Neurospora crassa OR74A: one gene and its partner. The protein of the gene in region 1 purifies or fractionates together with the protein of each later gene. This does not show direct contact. Links are inferred from orthologs where the notes say so. Each region holds a gene or a part of one and is shown on either strand. Other genes may lie near its edges.

Evidence for each region. Proteins that work in one complex are often made in the same cells at the same time.
Region 2: the proteins of NCU03597 (region 1) and NCU04646 purify together in Saccharomyces cerevisiae (affinity purification with mass spectrometry; 3 studies listed by BioGRID). This does not show direct contact. The link is inferred for Neurospora crassa OR74A from reciprocal best matches to the Saccharomyces cerevisiae genes POL12 and PRI2.

Annotation. Positions count from the first base shown.
Region 1 is NC_026505.1:1,788,111-1,796,216, reverse strand, and holds NCU03597 (DNA polymerase alpha/primase associated subunit), read right to left. Parts: upstream 4,531-8,106; 5' UTR 4,290-4,530; coding exon 3,799-4,289; intron 3,741-3,798; coding exon 2,405-3,740; intron 2,327-2,404; coding exon 2,150-2,326; 3' UTR 1,918-2,149; coding exon of another isoform or gene 337-1,917; 3' UTR 196-336; downstream 1-195. Other genes in the region: NCU03598 (microfibril-associated protein), read left to right, coding at 337-1,917; NCU03596 (CRAL/TRIO domain-containing protein), read left to right, coding at 5,202-5,829, 5,883-6,484. UniProt on the Saccharomyces cerevisiae protein: Non-catalytic component of DNA polymerase alpha, which in a complex with DNA primase (DNA polymerase alpha:primase) constitutes a replicative polymerase.
Region 2 is NC_026505.1:1,345,112-1,352,682, forward strand, and holds NCU04646 (DNA primase large subunit), read right to left. Parts: upstream 5,091-7,571; 5' UTR 5,001-5,090; coding exon 4,811-5,000; intron 4,721-4,810; coding exon 3,535-4,720; intron 3,444-3,534; coding exon 3,278-3,443; 3' UTR 3,052-3,277; downstream 1-3,051. Other genes in the region: NCU04648 (glutamine-dependent NAD(+) synthetase, variant), read left to right, coding at 57-348, 403-548; NCU04647 (actin binding protein), read left to right, coding at 1,510-1,879, 2,160-2,929; NCU04645 (DUF124 domain-containing protein), read right to left, coding at 5,617-5,661, 5,724-5,897, 5,959-6,308, 6,396-7,121, 7,177-7,203, 7,265-7,280. UniProt on the Saccharomyces cerevisiae protein: DNA primase is the polymerase that synthesizes small RNA primers for the Okazaki fragments made during discontinuous DNA replication. In a complex with DNA polymerase alpha (DNA polymerase alpha:primase) constitutes a replicative polymerase.

The sequences.
Region 1 (8,106 bases):
GAAAGCACAGACCAAAAAACACCCGAACACAGACACACAGGGCTGTCATGCGGGGCATTCGATCGCTACGGCGGGTCGTGGCCCTGCCGGGCAGCGGGAACCAAACACACCCGCTGCGAGGTCCACTTGCCGCGTCACAAAATTTACTGCACGTATCGTACTACGTGACGTTGCACTGTAATTTCATCATTACACCCGGACATGAAAGTTGCATTTCCCAGCATTTCATTTTGAACGCCATTCCGCCCGTCCTTAAGGTTCGCCACCTGTACTTGATCATTCAGCCTTGCATTGCCATCCAGATATCAGCTTTACACGTCCACAGCCACGCCCGTCATGCCGCCAGCTAAGAGCATGACGGCCAACCCGGTCAAGGCACCGCGCTACCGCGCCGGCAAGCCCACCGGTGTCGACTCCGAATCCGAATCCGACAACGTTCCCGAAGACGAGGAGGAAGCCCCCAAGAAGCCTTCCACGCGGAAAGCGCCAGCGCCCAAGTTTGCCAATGCAGCAGGTCCTGGCCGAATCATCAGTCGTGGCAACGATGGCAAGATCAACTTGAAAGCCGCCGGAATAGGCAGCAACGCCCCAGACAACGAAGAAGAAGAGAAAAAGCGACGGGAGGCAGCTGCGAAGGCGCGCATTGCGGCCGAACAGAAAGCAAGAGAGGAAGGGTTCGTGACAGAGGAGGAAGACGAAGAGGAAGAGGAAAGTGGCAACGAGGAAGAAGAGTCGGAAGAGGAAGAGAGCTCAGAAGAAGAAGAGGAAGCACCAAGGCGGTTGATGCTGCGACCAAAGTTCATTCGAAAGGCCGACCGCGAAGCTGGAGTAACCGCATCCAACTCCGCCTCGACAAACAAGAAATCGACACCCGAAGAAGACGAAGCAGCTGCCGCAGAAGCCCGCCGCCGCGCCGCCGACGAGCTTGTCGAAGAGCAAATCAAGAAAGACCTTGCCGCCCGCGCCGCTGGCAAGAAGCACTGGGACGACGACACCGACCCAGAAGACGACCAAATCGACGACACGGATGACATTGACCCCGAAGCCGAATACGCTGCCTGGAAACTGCGTGAGCTGAAGCGCGTCCGGCGCGAGCGCGAGGCTATCGAAGCCAAGGAGAAGGAACTCGCAGAGATCGAGCGCCGACGGAACCTCACGGAAGAAGAACGTCGCGCCGAAGATGAAAAACACCTGCAGCAGCAGAAGGAAGAGAAAGAGGGCAAAGGCAAGATGGCATACATGCAAAAGTACTTTCACAAGGGTGCTTTCTACCAGGATGAGAGCAAGGAGATGGGACTGGACAAGCGAGACATTATGGGCGCGAGGTTTGCGGACGATGTTAAGAACCGGGAGCTGTTGCCCAAGGCGCTGCAGCTGAGAGATATGACCAAGCTGGGAAGAAAGGGCGCCACCAAGTACAGAGACCTCAAGAGTGAAGATACGGGACAGTGGGGCCGCCTGCATGACAACAGGCCAGGGAGGGAGTTTGACAGGTTTGGAGATGAAAGGTTCCAGCCTGATGACTCTCATAGGGATCGGTACAGGGATAGGGGTGGTGATGGGCCGAAGGGCTCGAATGCCATTCCGTTGGGTGATCGGAAGAGCGCCCCGGAGAGGTCAAGGGGTGATGACAGGCCGCGTGGTGAGGATCGGTATAGGGGAGGCGATAGAGATCGCAACCGTGGTAGAGACCATTCTCGGGACCGTTACCGTGACAGGGACGGAGACAGGGACCGTCACCGGGATCGGGATCGGGACCGTGACAGACGTCGGGATGATGATTACAGGGAGAGGCGCCGGTCGCCGTCTCCAAGACGTGATCGTGATCGCGACCACGGCGAGCGGAGGAAACGGTCACCATCCAGAGAGCGGGACCGGTATGAGAGCGACAAGCGAAGAAAGGTGGATACTAGGTAGTCCATGTCTTGCCTACCTGCGGCCTCGTCGGCTCATGCAAGAACTTCTCACATTAATACTGTTGTATCGTCAAGGTGAATGTGCAAACTCTTTTTCATCCCGACGCCAAACCACCTGGTTATACCTATCCTCATGCCAATGCCGAATACAAATACATGGAAACCAGATTTATACCTCCAAATTTTCACATCATCAAGACATGTCTACCAAACCCAGAACTTCGAGATTAAGTTTAAATCCTGGTGACCTCGACTCTTGCCCTCTCAAAGATCCTATGGGCAAGCATCCCACCTGGCGCAGCATCCGCCTCCGACAGTTTTGGCGGATACAGTGTCATCCTGGCATATGTACCGGCTCGCTTGCGTTGTGATAGATACCCGGGGTTGATGACCAACACACTTTCAATGACCTAGACAAGAAAGTCAGTAACTGCACGCATTCCCAGGATGAAAAGCAAATTCAGCAACACAACAAAAAAAAAACATACCTTGGCGAAAGGCGGCAACGCGCTCGGCACAATCAACACATCCGGACGCACATTAACCATCTCGCCCAACTTCAAATAACTGATATCCAGCATGGCGCCCGGCGCAGCCTGCCCATCAATCACCTGTCTCCCCGTCTTGGGCAGCTTCGTCCGATCCGTCGGCGGAAACAGCGGGAAATAATGCCTCTGCTCGATCAGATACCTCGCCACCCTCGACAAGCCATTGGTATCCTCCACCGTGCCGCCAATCAGCTCCTCATGCTTGAGCTCCCACAGCGCATCCTGACTGCTGATCCCCACCAACGTCTCGTTGAGGCTGAGCGTCATTGGGTTGCCAAGGATCTTGATGCTCTTGTGCAGGCCGAGCTCCTTGCGGGGGAAGGGGTCTTGCGGCCAAGAGACGTGGCGGTCGATTACGTCGCGAACCGAGGGAACGAGCAGGATGGTGACGTGCGGATTGGCGGACACGAGTCGGTTCAGCGCGGGCGAGATGAGATACTTGAAGACAGTGTTCAGAGTTGCAGCGTCAGGGTCGTAGACGGCTTCCTCGGGGAGGTCGAAGTCGCCTGATGCAATGAGGGGGTGCTCGGCGTCGATGAAGGGGCCGGTGAGGATGACGGCGTCGGCATAGGTGTCTGCTGCTTCGTTGATGAAAGTGTGGAGGGGCTCGAAGTCGAGGTTGTCGTCGGCGGTGTAGGGGCCAGAGGCAAAGATGACGTTAAGAGGCATGGGGTTTTCGTCGTCGGTGTCCATGGCGTCCGGACCGCCGCGTAGCCTCTCACGGTGTGCTGCCATGGTCTCTAGTGTGGAGGCAGCATTGCCCATGAGAGGCATGCGTATGACTTCGTTGACGGTGAACTCACGCCCCGTGGTATTGGTTCCGCGTAGTGCGACGATCTGTCCGGGGAAGAACTGGTAACCCTTGAGCTTGCTGACGTTTAGGGGTACCCGGAAACCGCCGCCCAACTTTCTGGAGGTTTCTAACACGAGGGAAGCGGCGTTGAGCTTGCCCTCGGACGTATCAGAGGCGACACGCCCGACTGCCACGATCTCTGTGGTACTCTGCATAGCCGCGCTGCCGAATACCGACTCGTCCAACTTGTAATGTTCCAGAACCAAACTTGTAAAGTCGTCTATCCTGTCGTCCAAGATCTCGGATGCTTCAGAAAGCTTCATTGCTAGTGGCTTGTAGCCCAATTTCTTCAGATCGGAGGCGGCAGTAAGTTTGATGCGGGACTCGCCGAAGGGAGCGATGGGTGGTTCGGGCGCAGGGAGATTTTCGTTGAGGATTTCGATCACTTCGCCGGCGTTTGGTCTATCTTTGAAAGAAGATGGTCTTGGAACGGTTAGCAAGGTACATACAGTACGTATGCAGGGAACTGGTCTGGACATACGGAATCACGCCCATGGCATCTAGTTGTGCCTCCAGCTTCATCGGCGAGCTTACGGGCTCATTCTTCAAGCGGGAGCCGATGGGAGTCCCCATTGGTGTTTTCCTAGCCGAACCAAGCTTTGCTGCCCGTCGAGCTGCCGGTGTTGTGAGTCCATCAAGCATACCAAACACATCGCTATTGTTCCTCGCTCCTGGCCTTGGTGTTCCTCCCGGTCGCTTTTCGGTCTTGACTTGCTCCAACGCCTGAGCTCGGTTTGCTCGTTCTAGTGTGTCTTGTAGGTCCTGCTTGAACTTGCGAACAGTGGACATGGACATCTTGGGCTGGTCCATGTCCATCTTGATGCAGTACGACTCCCACTTGAAGAACATGTCTTGAACGTCGAGTTCGTGCAGGCGCATAATCGACTGGAGCTCATATATGACATCTGGAGAGAGCTCGGTGTTGGCAGTGCCGAAGCGCTCGTTGAGCTCGGCCACGACTGGATCGGCCATGATCGCAATGGCAGGTGATGTTTGCGCCTCGTTCTTCTCTTCGGTGCTCGTGATGTTTGACAGATTTAGTCGATGCAGTCCCGTCCCTACTTGAAGTTGCAACAAATAGCGGTTCGAGTTGTGTGGTCGCAGCTTGAGTGGCACAATGAACAAACAAACAAACAAACAATTCGGTATCACGAATATGATCACGGAGGGGAACCACCACTACACATTCACAGGACGCGCCATTGTGGTGCTGACCGCGCCGTAGAAATCAATTAACGCGAAAACACGCTAATCCAATTGGCAGGGGTGGTCCTTGTGGCCCGAGGGTGTGACGCAGCGGCGCTGTAGCTCAGGGGATCTGTGGCTGGTGCGCGGCGGCTTCCCTAGCTCCACAATCCGGAAAGCGCTTTGCTGCAAGTTTAAGACGTACTTGCAAGTTGCAGACGGATTGTCCAAACTCTTCAAAGTGAACGCAGGGGCAGCAAAATGTCCATCAAGCAGGTGCACTGCTTCATCAAAACTCGAGAAGATTGACATGTTGGGTTTGTCACCAATTCCGTCAAGCCAGCACATATTTTCAATGGTGAAATACAAATCTTCTACATCTTGCTTCCAAGCAAGTCTTGGCTTTGCTTCGGTCCAGACGGAAAGACATTCGCCAATTTCCGTGATCATCGAAGCGATCTGCCCTGAGGCCAGCAATCAAAGCCCCTAATCTGTTTGGTTGCGGCTGACACATCGTCGGTCGCTTGAGATTGGGCTCATGGCATCGTCCAATTCCACTGCACTTCCACTTCAACGTATCTCAACTTTCTTTTTCTAAGCCAACCTCCTACGTCTCGTTCCGTTTTTTCCTGCATTTTCTGATCTTGCTCACTCTACTCTCTTTAATTCCCAAATTCTTTACCACGTCGCTCGCTCAAAATGGCCACTGTCCTCAAGGTCCCTCTGGCTTCCCCTACCCCTGACAGCCAGCCCAAGCCCCAAGCGGCGCTTACGGCTGACCAGGAGGAAAAGTACAACTGGTTGCTCGAACAAGTCAAAAACTGGAAGGAAGTCCCTGCGACTGAGGGCAAGGCCGGTCCCATCACCGATAGAGAGAAGTTCTGGTTGACTCGGGAATGTCTCCTCCGCTTTCTGCGCGCAACAAAATGGAATCAAAAGGAGGCTGAGAAACGCATCCTGGGCACGCTCACGTGGAGGAGAGAGTACGGCGTCGAGGAGTTGACTGCGGATCACATCTCGCCCGAAAACGAGACCGGCAAGCAGATCATCTTGGGCTACGACAAGGAGGGCCGCGTCTGCCATTACCTGAACCCTGGCCGCCAGAACACCGAGGCCTCTCCTCGCCAAGTTCAGCACCTCGTCTTCATGCTCGAGCGCGTTATCGACCTTATGCCGCCCCAGGTTGAGACTCTGTCTCTGCTCATCAACTTCAAGTCGAGCAAGTCCAGGTCCAACACGGCTCCTGGCATCGGTCAGGCTCGCGAAGTCCTCAACATCCTTCAGAACCACTACCCCGAGAGACTCGGGCGCGCTCTCATTATTAATGGTATGTGCAATGCTTAATGTCTGACGAACACCCAGAAAACTGACCAACCACAGTTCCCTGGATTGTCAACGGCTTCTTCAAACTCATCACTCCCTTTATCGACCCCAACACCCGCGAGAAGCTCAAGTTCAACGAGGACATGAAGAAGTACGTCCCCGCCGAGCAGCTCTGGACCGAGTTCAACGGCTCTCTTGAGTTCGACTACGACCATGCCACCTACTGGCCCGCCCTGCAGAAGATGTGCGTCGAGAAGCGGGAGGCCAAGTACCAGCGCTGGGTTGCCGGTGGTCAGCAGATTGGCGAGCTGGAGGATTTCATCACTGGGCATGCTCAGGTTGGCGTTGCTGGTCCTATTGCCGCTGCCACCTCTGCTCCTGAGCCCACTCCTGCCGCATCTGCGCCTGCGCCGGCTGCTGAGCCCGAGACCATTCTTGCTCCCGAGCCTGCTCTTGCTTCCGAGACTGCTCTTGCTCCTCCCCCTGTTACTGCTTCCGTACCAGTGGCAACGGAGGCTCACGACGAGGCGCCAGCCCCGGCTCCCGAGGCTGCTGCTATTCCAGAGCCCACACCGGCGGCGGTGCCTGTGGAGGAGAAGAAGGAAGAGGAAAAGCCAAAGGTTGTCGCGTCAACTGAGGTCGGAGAGACCACTGCTTAAAAGGTGCGCTCAGCTGTATAATAGACGGTGTTGGGGTTAGTCGCAATGGGTTTAGGTAAAGAGTAGAATGGTGATTTTGTCGTGTATTTGATACCAATTATAGAAAAACTAGGCGCCATTAGGGTGTTTCTGGTCAGTTAGACATCATAGAAGGCGAAGCATAATATCAGTTTAGTTTGAACAAAGGGTTGGCACTGTTTTAAGAGGTACCTACCCTACATCAAACAACACTCGGTCTCACTGCTTGATAAGGAGCACCTAACGTAGGTAGTAACAACCACGCCAAAGCTTGGTTGACAGTCTTCAAACACTAGTAAAACTCAGTGGAACATGAAACGGGTTGCTGCTTCGCCATATAACCTCATGCTCTACAGTCTCATGACTGTATGGCTACTTTATTGTCTGGACACAGGTTTGTTTTGGCCGCTGTGAATGGAGTCAACAAGTTTTGGTGCATGTGTGAGCCACCCAGTGGGACCTCGCGCGCCAACAAATAGTTTTAAGGGTTGATCTATACACTATATTCCAGTACAGTACTAGCCACGCATTAGTGGAAAACAGCCTGGGCACTAAGTAGGTACGACAGAACCATTTTTCATGTAATGCCAGAGTACCGAGTTCAATCTCGCAGTTGAATGAAGGCTTACCTAGGTAGGTAGGTTGTCTGCTCTCGTCATCAAGACGAGATTCGACAGCACGAGCTGGTTGATCGTCAAGCCCACACACTCGTCTACTCCTACTCCTTAGCGCGATTGCCATTGTATTTTATCGATCATGGTGGTTTTCGTGCAATTTCACTTTCTGGACAATTTTTGATTTGTATAGGTCTCTTGCCTGGTGCATAGGATACCTAATTCGAAACAAGATACCTAGGTAGGTAATAACAGCGAGTAAGAAGAAGAAGAACCACGCCAACTACTAGGTAGGTAGCCAAGTTCCCCAAACTCCCACATCTTAGGTACACAGCTGAAGTATACTAGAAAAAAAAAAAACACTCGGGCGTTTGGTCTGGGAGGGACGGAACGGAGCGGAACGGAACGGGTGGGCAAGGAAGACGGTTGTTGAGATGTTCCTGGGGTTTCCTGGTAAAACGATTGCGTAGCTTGTATAAGGCCGGACGGGAGATCCTGGTTAGCATCAGATGATGCGAGGGTGTTACATAGGTATGTAGCTGGATGCAGGCTAAAAGGACGTTGTTTGGCGTGGCATGGTGAATGTTTATCTGTGAGAGTTCGAAACTTTTCAAAGTCATCTGTCAACTGACTACTTACCTATTGAGGGTGTATGTAATCAGTTCTGAAGCGTATGTATCAGGACAAGGGGGGTAAACATGACTCTGCTCTGGGTTAATAAGTAGTGGGGCTATGCTGCTTTAGCTTCGAGAAAATACAGTAGAAGAGGATAGGAAGTATCAGGGTATCGACGGGTATGGAGTTGGGGGGTATAGTATAGTATAGTATAGCATAGCTATATATTGTATGATCTCCATGCTCACGTTCAGTTTTGCCAAAGTTATAAGCATCTGATTATAGCTCTGTTGCATCACAAACTACATCACACCCCCACGAGATGGAACTCTGTCCTTGTACAGTAAGTTCTCTGATGGAATAGATCTTCTGGCA
Region 2 (7,571 bases), about 440 kb from region 1:
AATTTGGTAATTCAGCGACTCATGAACCTGGTGCCTAACCAGACCTTGCACTATAGGAGCCCATCACCCAGGAATATGTCCAAAGCGACGAAGCCGACATGGGAATGACGTACGCCGAGCTCACAGTCTTTGGTCGTCTTCGAAAGCTGAACAAGCTTGGTCCCTATGCCATGTTCCAGCGTCTCGTCCACGACTGGAGCGCTGACCGTGAGAAGGTCGAGGGTGACGAGGCGCCTTTCTATACCCCCAGACAGGTTGCCGAGAAGGTCAAGAGGTTTTTCCACTTTTATGCCATCAACAGGCACAAGATGACCACCTTGACTCCCGCATTGCATTGCAATGATTACTGTAAGTTCCGGACATGATCCATTTGTCGAAGTACCTCGACTGACCCCATCATAGCGCCGGATGACAACAGATTTGACCTTAGGCCGTTCTTGTATCCCCCCTTCTGGAAGAGCTGGAGCTTCAAGAGGATCGATATGGAGCTTGAGAGGATCGAGAAGAAGAGGGAGGAGCGTGCGGGAAAGGGCAAGGAGACTGCTTAGTGTCGACAAATACTCGACTAGAATGTGTTCGGTAGTCTTCAAATGAAATTTAAGAAGCCAAAAAAAGATTATCGACGACTGGCTCGAACGCACCACCTCTCTCCAAGCAAGCAAGAGAGGAGAGGAGAGGAGCAAAAAACAACAACCGCCCGGTCAGAGCATCGGTGAACCGTTTGATTTCATCTGTCGACTGGAGCGTTCCCAGATACCATATAGGTAGACCGGCTACTAGATGTGAAGACCCCTTTCCGTATCTTAGCACACCGTTCCCGATCCGGACAGGCAATAGGTTTTTGAGTTTTGAGAACTCAAACGGTAGACCGTTGTGCCATCTGACCAAGCGGTTGTTGTTGAAATTAGGGACCAACCGGGTCCCTAATATGGTCATTAGCGTTGAGGTTGAGATCGGATGAAGGAGCCGTAGGGAAGGTACGGCAGCTGCTGCGGGACTCGAAGGTCGAACGGTTCGGCTGGGGGAAGAACGCTGAATCATATCTACTTCACACATTTGGTCGTATTCCAGCATCAAGATCTTGATTCTATCGATTTTCAAGTATTTGTCTGCGAGTTATCTCCAGATTCGAATTCGGGGGCGAGTGAGGGACAGCTCCTTGATGCGACAACCTCAATGGACAACCAGGGTTAGGGGTAGATAAGGATAAGACAGTCGGAGCTTGTGCCCACTGAGTGCAAAGTTGGGTGGGCCCCCTCCACAGCCCAATTGGCTCCACAGGCTCTGGACCATTTTTTGTACTTTTCCTCGTTTCGGAATTTGCAAATCTTTTCCCCCTCCTCTCCTCTCCGTCTCTTCATTCTTCGTTCCCTCCGCGGTTCAAGAACCAGCACGATATGCTGCGTCAACCTTTCAACAAAGCCAGTGCCATTCAATGACCAGTGGTGATTGTTAGCTGCATCTTTTTACCAGTGCACTAACCAGGATCCTCCAACATTGTCCTTCGCCATGGCATCGAATGGCGTCGTCGCTCCTGTCGCCTCTACCGAGGCACAGGTTGTCGTCGATGAACAACAACAACAACAACAGCCCGAGCAGCAGCTCGCTGCCCAGATCTCCAAGCTCGAAATAGCCGAGGAGAAACAGCAGCCTGAGCAGCAGCAGGAGGAACAGCAGCCTCCCCACCGGTCCCACGATCCCCAGTTCAACCAAAAGCGCAGCGACCCGTTTCAGTTCGGATCTCGCTATCTGCAGGAGCAGGATGACGTCTTTGAGTTCAACGCGTGGGATCATGTCGAGACTGATGACGCATACAAGGAGTATGCTGAACAGCAGTACGAGATGCAGCGCAATGCGCCCGTCTCGGACTTTGATAAGCGTAAGTAGCCACTCGTCCATCTTTCACACCTCGCTCTCCCCAATGGTTCACGCTAAGAGAGGGGTTCATACCCATTGCACCTCTCTCTTGGGCTTCCGTGATGATTTACAATCATAAGCATAGTTCATCTGAATTATTCATGAAGACAACTACGTATTTTATAGTCTTTCGCTCCCATCTGATTTTGCCCTTTACCATTGGGTTCTGTTTCAAACAAACACCAAGTTGCTACCACATCCAGACCTTGGAGCAGTCTGCTAACTCAACTTGCCTGCAACAGACCGGTTCAACTCGGACCCTGCAAAGTGGTGGAACCAGTTCTACAAGAATAACACCGCCAACTTTTTCAAGGATCGCAAGTGGCTTCAGCAGGAGTTCCCTATCTTGGACAAGGTCACCTCTGAGGGATACGGCCCCTGCACCCTCCTCGAAATAGGAGCTGGCGCGGGCAACACGGCCTTCCCCATCCTGTCCAAGAACAAGAACCCCGAACTGAAGATCCACGCCTGTGATTTCTCCAAGAAGGCCGTCGAGGTCATGCGCTCGCACGAGGCCTACAACACGGACCAGATGCAGGCCGATGTGTGGGACGTGGCCGGCGACGAGCTGCCCCCTCACCTTGATGAGAACTCGGTGGACGTCGCCCTCATGGTGTTTATCTTCTCTGCATTGTCCCCGTTGCAGTGGAAGAAGGCCGTCGAGAATGTCTACCGTGTGCTCAAGCCCGGCGGTGAAGTGTGCTTCCGTGACTATGGAAGAGGAGACTTGGCTCAGGTCCGCTTCAAGAAGGGTCGTTATCTGGACGAGAACTTCTACATTCGTGGTGATGGCACTCGCGTCTACTTCTTTGAGAAAGACGAGCTGGCCGATATTTGGTCGGGCAAGCTGTTTACCAAGGACAGTGAGGTCGAGGACGCTTCTGAGCCTGACATCCGCTTCGTGATTGAGGACCTTGGTGTCGATCGTAGATTGCTCGTCAACCGGGCAAAGAAGCTGAAGATGTACCGCTGCTGGTTGCAAGGTCGCTTCAGGAAGCCATTGCCGCAGTAGAAAGAATAAACAATTGATACCCATTTCTCACCACTTTCTGTTCACCTTTTGATTACCTGTGATGTGTTGCCTAGTTCTTTTGGTGTCTGCTGTACTCGTGGTATGGGATAGCATGTCAGAACCATAAATCTACATGTTGAATATGATCAAGTTAATGATGTTCATCAAATCATATCCCATACATGTGTGTGTGGGTGAACTTGTACGAGTGTCATGTCGTCGCTATGTCGCCTGAACGCCAGAAAATACTACAACAGAAAGAAACCCGGGTCCCACATCCCATGCCCATCCATATTTCCACATCGAACCTCTTTTCAAGCTCGTCCGCATCAACCATGCATGGTATCTTCAACCCTCCATCTTGACATCCCCTTGCATCTTGCCCATATTCTTCAGCAAGTAACTCCGCTTGAAGTACTCGTTGGGGTGGACAATAGTCTCAAGCTGCGCCGCAGTCATGATACCCTCATCCTTGGCCTTTTTGAGTTCTTCCTTGTGAAGATGTTCGAATACCCTGGGTTGTATCCCACATCAGCGTTAATTCACTGCTCAAGTCCAGCAGCGTCAAGAGAGTAGCAGCAGCAAGGCGGCGGGGAGAAACATACCGATTGCAAGCCATATGAAACTTTTGCTTCTCCTTATCCTCCTTGACCCCATTCAACACCCCGCGATCCGTCACCCCCATCCCCTGCTGCAACAGCGTCTGCAGATTCTCCATGTTAAAGTGTCTGTACGGACACCCGTGCGCCTCGCCCGGTCCGGGAGGATGTTCTGTGAGAATCTTTTGGCACGAATATGGCGAGTAACCGCCGCCGCGCCGATTGCTGTCGCCGCCCACGTCGCCGTACGTGTGTCGCACGTTGTACCGGTACTCCTTGTTGAACGTGTCGTCGGTGATTTTGTTGAAACTCTGTCGCCAAAATAGCAAGCATTCTTCGAGGTTGAGGCCGATGCCCTTCAGAAAGAGGGTGTACTGGAGACGACCGTAGTGCTTCAAGTGCGCGTCCCGCCGCAGGGTGCGATGCAAATGGGACATGCAAGCGGGGAAATGGTGGTTGTTCACCAGCGTGTCGATGTTTCTGGCTGAGATATCCGCCGAGGAGATGGCGGATGAAGTACCTACGTACGAAGCGTCGGGCGTGATAAAGTTCTTGGACAAGTGTGCCAGGATGGGCGTCAAGCGGTCGTCTTCGTCTAGTCGGGGAAGGGCCCGGGCGGTTAACTCGAGCTGTCGTTCCAGCCGGGACGAGAATTCCGAAACGACCATCGCTTGCTGTTCGCGCGCGGGAACGTAGGCGTAGCCTTGTCGGAGAAAGACGCGCCGCTGTTCGACCAGCTCGGGGACGCGCAGCCACGAGACTTTGCACCATGTTTGTTGGTCTTCTTCGTATTGCTGCTGCTGCTGTTGTCCCTTTTTGTAGCCGCCGAAGGAGGCAGTCGCTGCCAACTCGGCAGCTAGTTCGCGCTTCTCTTCGTCCGAAACAGTCTCCCAGTCGAGATTAAGCGAGTTTATAAAAGCCGCGCGCTCGCGACCGTCGTCGGCGTTCAGGCGCATGCGAAATAACATGGTTTCGACGCGGGTGAAGCGGCGTCGGAGGTCCTCCGTGGACGCAAAAGCGAGACGAAGGATGAAGTGGCTGTAGTGGTCTTTTTGCCGCTGGGCGAAGAGCTGGGAGGAGGAGGAGCTGTTGGTGTCGAGCGGGAGGTACTTGTCGAGTAAAGGTTTCATGTGCGAGGCCGTCTCGGCGGGGGTTTTGTTACGGAAGGAGCATGCTTCGAGTTCGGCGAGGACTGGATTATGATAAGAAAGAGGTTGATTAGCGTTTAGAGGCACGCCCAGTATTGTAGATCACTGAGATATGAGCGTGGTATGATACATACTTCGTAACCTGTCGATGGCCCATTGTTCAAACTGCTCAATGGTGATGTCGGCTGTTGGAGGGGTCGAGTAGAAGTTGAGCCGATGGGGATAATCGGTGTCCTTGTAGGCGGCTTCTGCGAATTGTTTCTTGCGGTGGTCGAGGACGTTTCGCCTTTTGGGGTCGATGCGACTGACGTTTGATCGTAGCATGATGGAGACTTGGTAGGACTGTCCTCCTGGCTTTCTGACGTGGGAGGTTGTCGGTTGGAAGCCGTGGACTGGGGATGATGTTGGTCTGGGAGACGCGTCTAAAGTTACCTTGACGCGCAGCTCTTACAAAATCAATTAAAAAGCTGGCCAATCACAGGCGTAATTTTGTCCGTGAAGTTGGGCGCGATGCTGCTTTGACCCTAACCCTAGAAAGCCAGCCGGTCACCGAAGACCCTTTTACTCGCAAACTTGGACTTTCTTTCCACTGTTCAAAGTTTCTCAGTCTGTCTTTTCCCGGTGGGATCTTCTCGTATCATTGTTTGGAGAGCCAGGCCTATGTCGCCTGTTTCCCAAACCTCATTCATGGCGGATCGATAGGTTGCCAAGCGGAAACGAAGCTGTCAAGCTTCTAGTCTAAGGACAGGACAAGAGGCTCATGGTTCACTGATACTGACATTTTAACTATTCCCGAACACATCTCAAAGCCGACATGACATCGCTAACAAACTCAAAATAAACAGAATGAAAGGACATCAAGTGATGCGAGGTTCACAGCCTCAAATGCGACCGCCACAGGTATCACTCTCCCGTACGACTCCTACATCCTAATCCAGCTCTAGGCCTTTGCTGTTTGACCGGTCATAAACGCACTAAAGGCAGTCTTTATAAAAGTTAGTTTATGTCATGTCCAAACGTATCAAGCTGGTGTGGGGTTTGACAAACCGCATTCCTTGTCTGGATGAATATTGTTCCAGGGCCAGTGAATTTGCACACCAGTCCTTCGCCAGAAGCGAAGCCCGATAGTAAGCCGCCGGAAGCAACACGTTCCAGAACGTACTTGGTATTCCATGCGACCAAGTGGCCGTTGTCAACAATGTACTTCTCGCCGTCCGCCAGCTGTCTCCTCTGTTAGCAACCCGCACCCTTCCACTCGGACTTCAGACAACTGATAACTCACATCTTTCCGAACAATGGCACCAAAACTCGTCAGCCACAACAGCCCCGTGCCACTAATCTTGTACACCCACAATCCCTCACCAGAGAACATGGCCTTTCCCAGTCCCTGGCGCTTATAGTCCTTGGTGACGTTCTGCGTCGAAGCAAGGTATCCATCGTGGCTGACAGACCAGGTCTGGGAGCCATCCAGGCGGAGACTCGTGATATCGCCGAGCATGGCAGGGGCCAAAAGCAACTCACCCGGACCGGTGTAAGTCGAGCTGCCCATCTCGCCGCCGGCAACAAGTTTCTTCAAGCCAAACTTGTAGGCTCCCTTGAGGGACATGGAGGGGGACATGGCGATCATTGATCCTGTGCGAGAATAAGATAGAGACTGTTAGCCAAGTACACACTCGTTTGGATACACCTATGGAGTGAATTTCAAGAGAGAAAGCATACCCGGCTTAGCATCCAACGGGCAACCGATCGCCAACTGCACAGTCAAAATAGTATTGCAATCCCGATGGCTGATACGGTAACTGCCACCATTGAACGTTCCCACGTCATCCGACACCGCACCTACACCGGAAAACTGTCCGGCGGCGGGTGCACCAGTAATGGCAGCCGCTGCCGAAGTGCTCAACCCCAGACCAACCGGTTGTGTGGGTGCTGGCTGCTGCTGCTGCTGGGGCTGCTGCTCGCCTTGAGCATACGGCGGAGGAGCGGCAAACTGTTGCTGAGGAGGAGGGGTGTGGGCAGAAGTTCGGGACGCGCTGGAATCGGTCCTCATGTGCAGAGGGAGGGCGGTTGGAGCATGTTGCTGCTGGGCTGGGGGAGCCGCGTATTGAGGCTGCGGTTGCTGCACTTGCTGCTGGGCTGGTGGTGGCGCATATTGCTGGTGTTGTTGAGTCGGTGGTGGGGAAAATTGCTGGGCCGGTGGTGGGGAGAATTGTTGTTGTGGTGGTTGTTGATACTGTTGCTGCTGCTGCTGCTGCTGCTGAGGAGGAAAGGGGTACGAAGGAGTGGATGACTTGGGCGGCGGCGTGGCAGACGAGCCGGCGGACTGAGGAGGAGGAGGATAATGCCTTCCTTGCTGCTGGGTGGTCGGAGGAGATGGGTAAGAGAACTTTGTCTGGGTTGGAGGAGCAGACATGGGAGGAGGTGGGTAGCTGTGTTGAGCAGGGGCTGTTGTCCTCGTCAGTATCAACTGTTCCATCCGCTTTTCAACATTGGAACATACCTGCAGCACCGGATGCTCCAGGAGGTGCTGACATACTTGTTAGCTTTATCATATAACAATAACAAACTGAAGAGCGTATTATACTCACGAGGATAGTAAGACATATTGATTGTTTGTTTTTCTCGAACACAGGAATCCTTTCCCAGATAGTTTTGAGCTTGTTAAAGGAATGGTCCTTGTCTTGATGAACCTCGCCAAGTCTCGATGGGAACTTTTGGAGTAAACTCGAGGGATTCCCCGCACTTATAAAAGAAGCTGACTGCAGATCACTTGTGTTGCCCGAGTTTGTGAGACCACCAGCAGAGAATGGAGATAGCTATGGTGAGAAGCCGGTTCAAAAGAAGAGAGGTTCAAACAGATTCACAGTCAGAAAACGGGGGAGAAAAAGTTAAGGG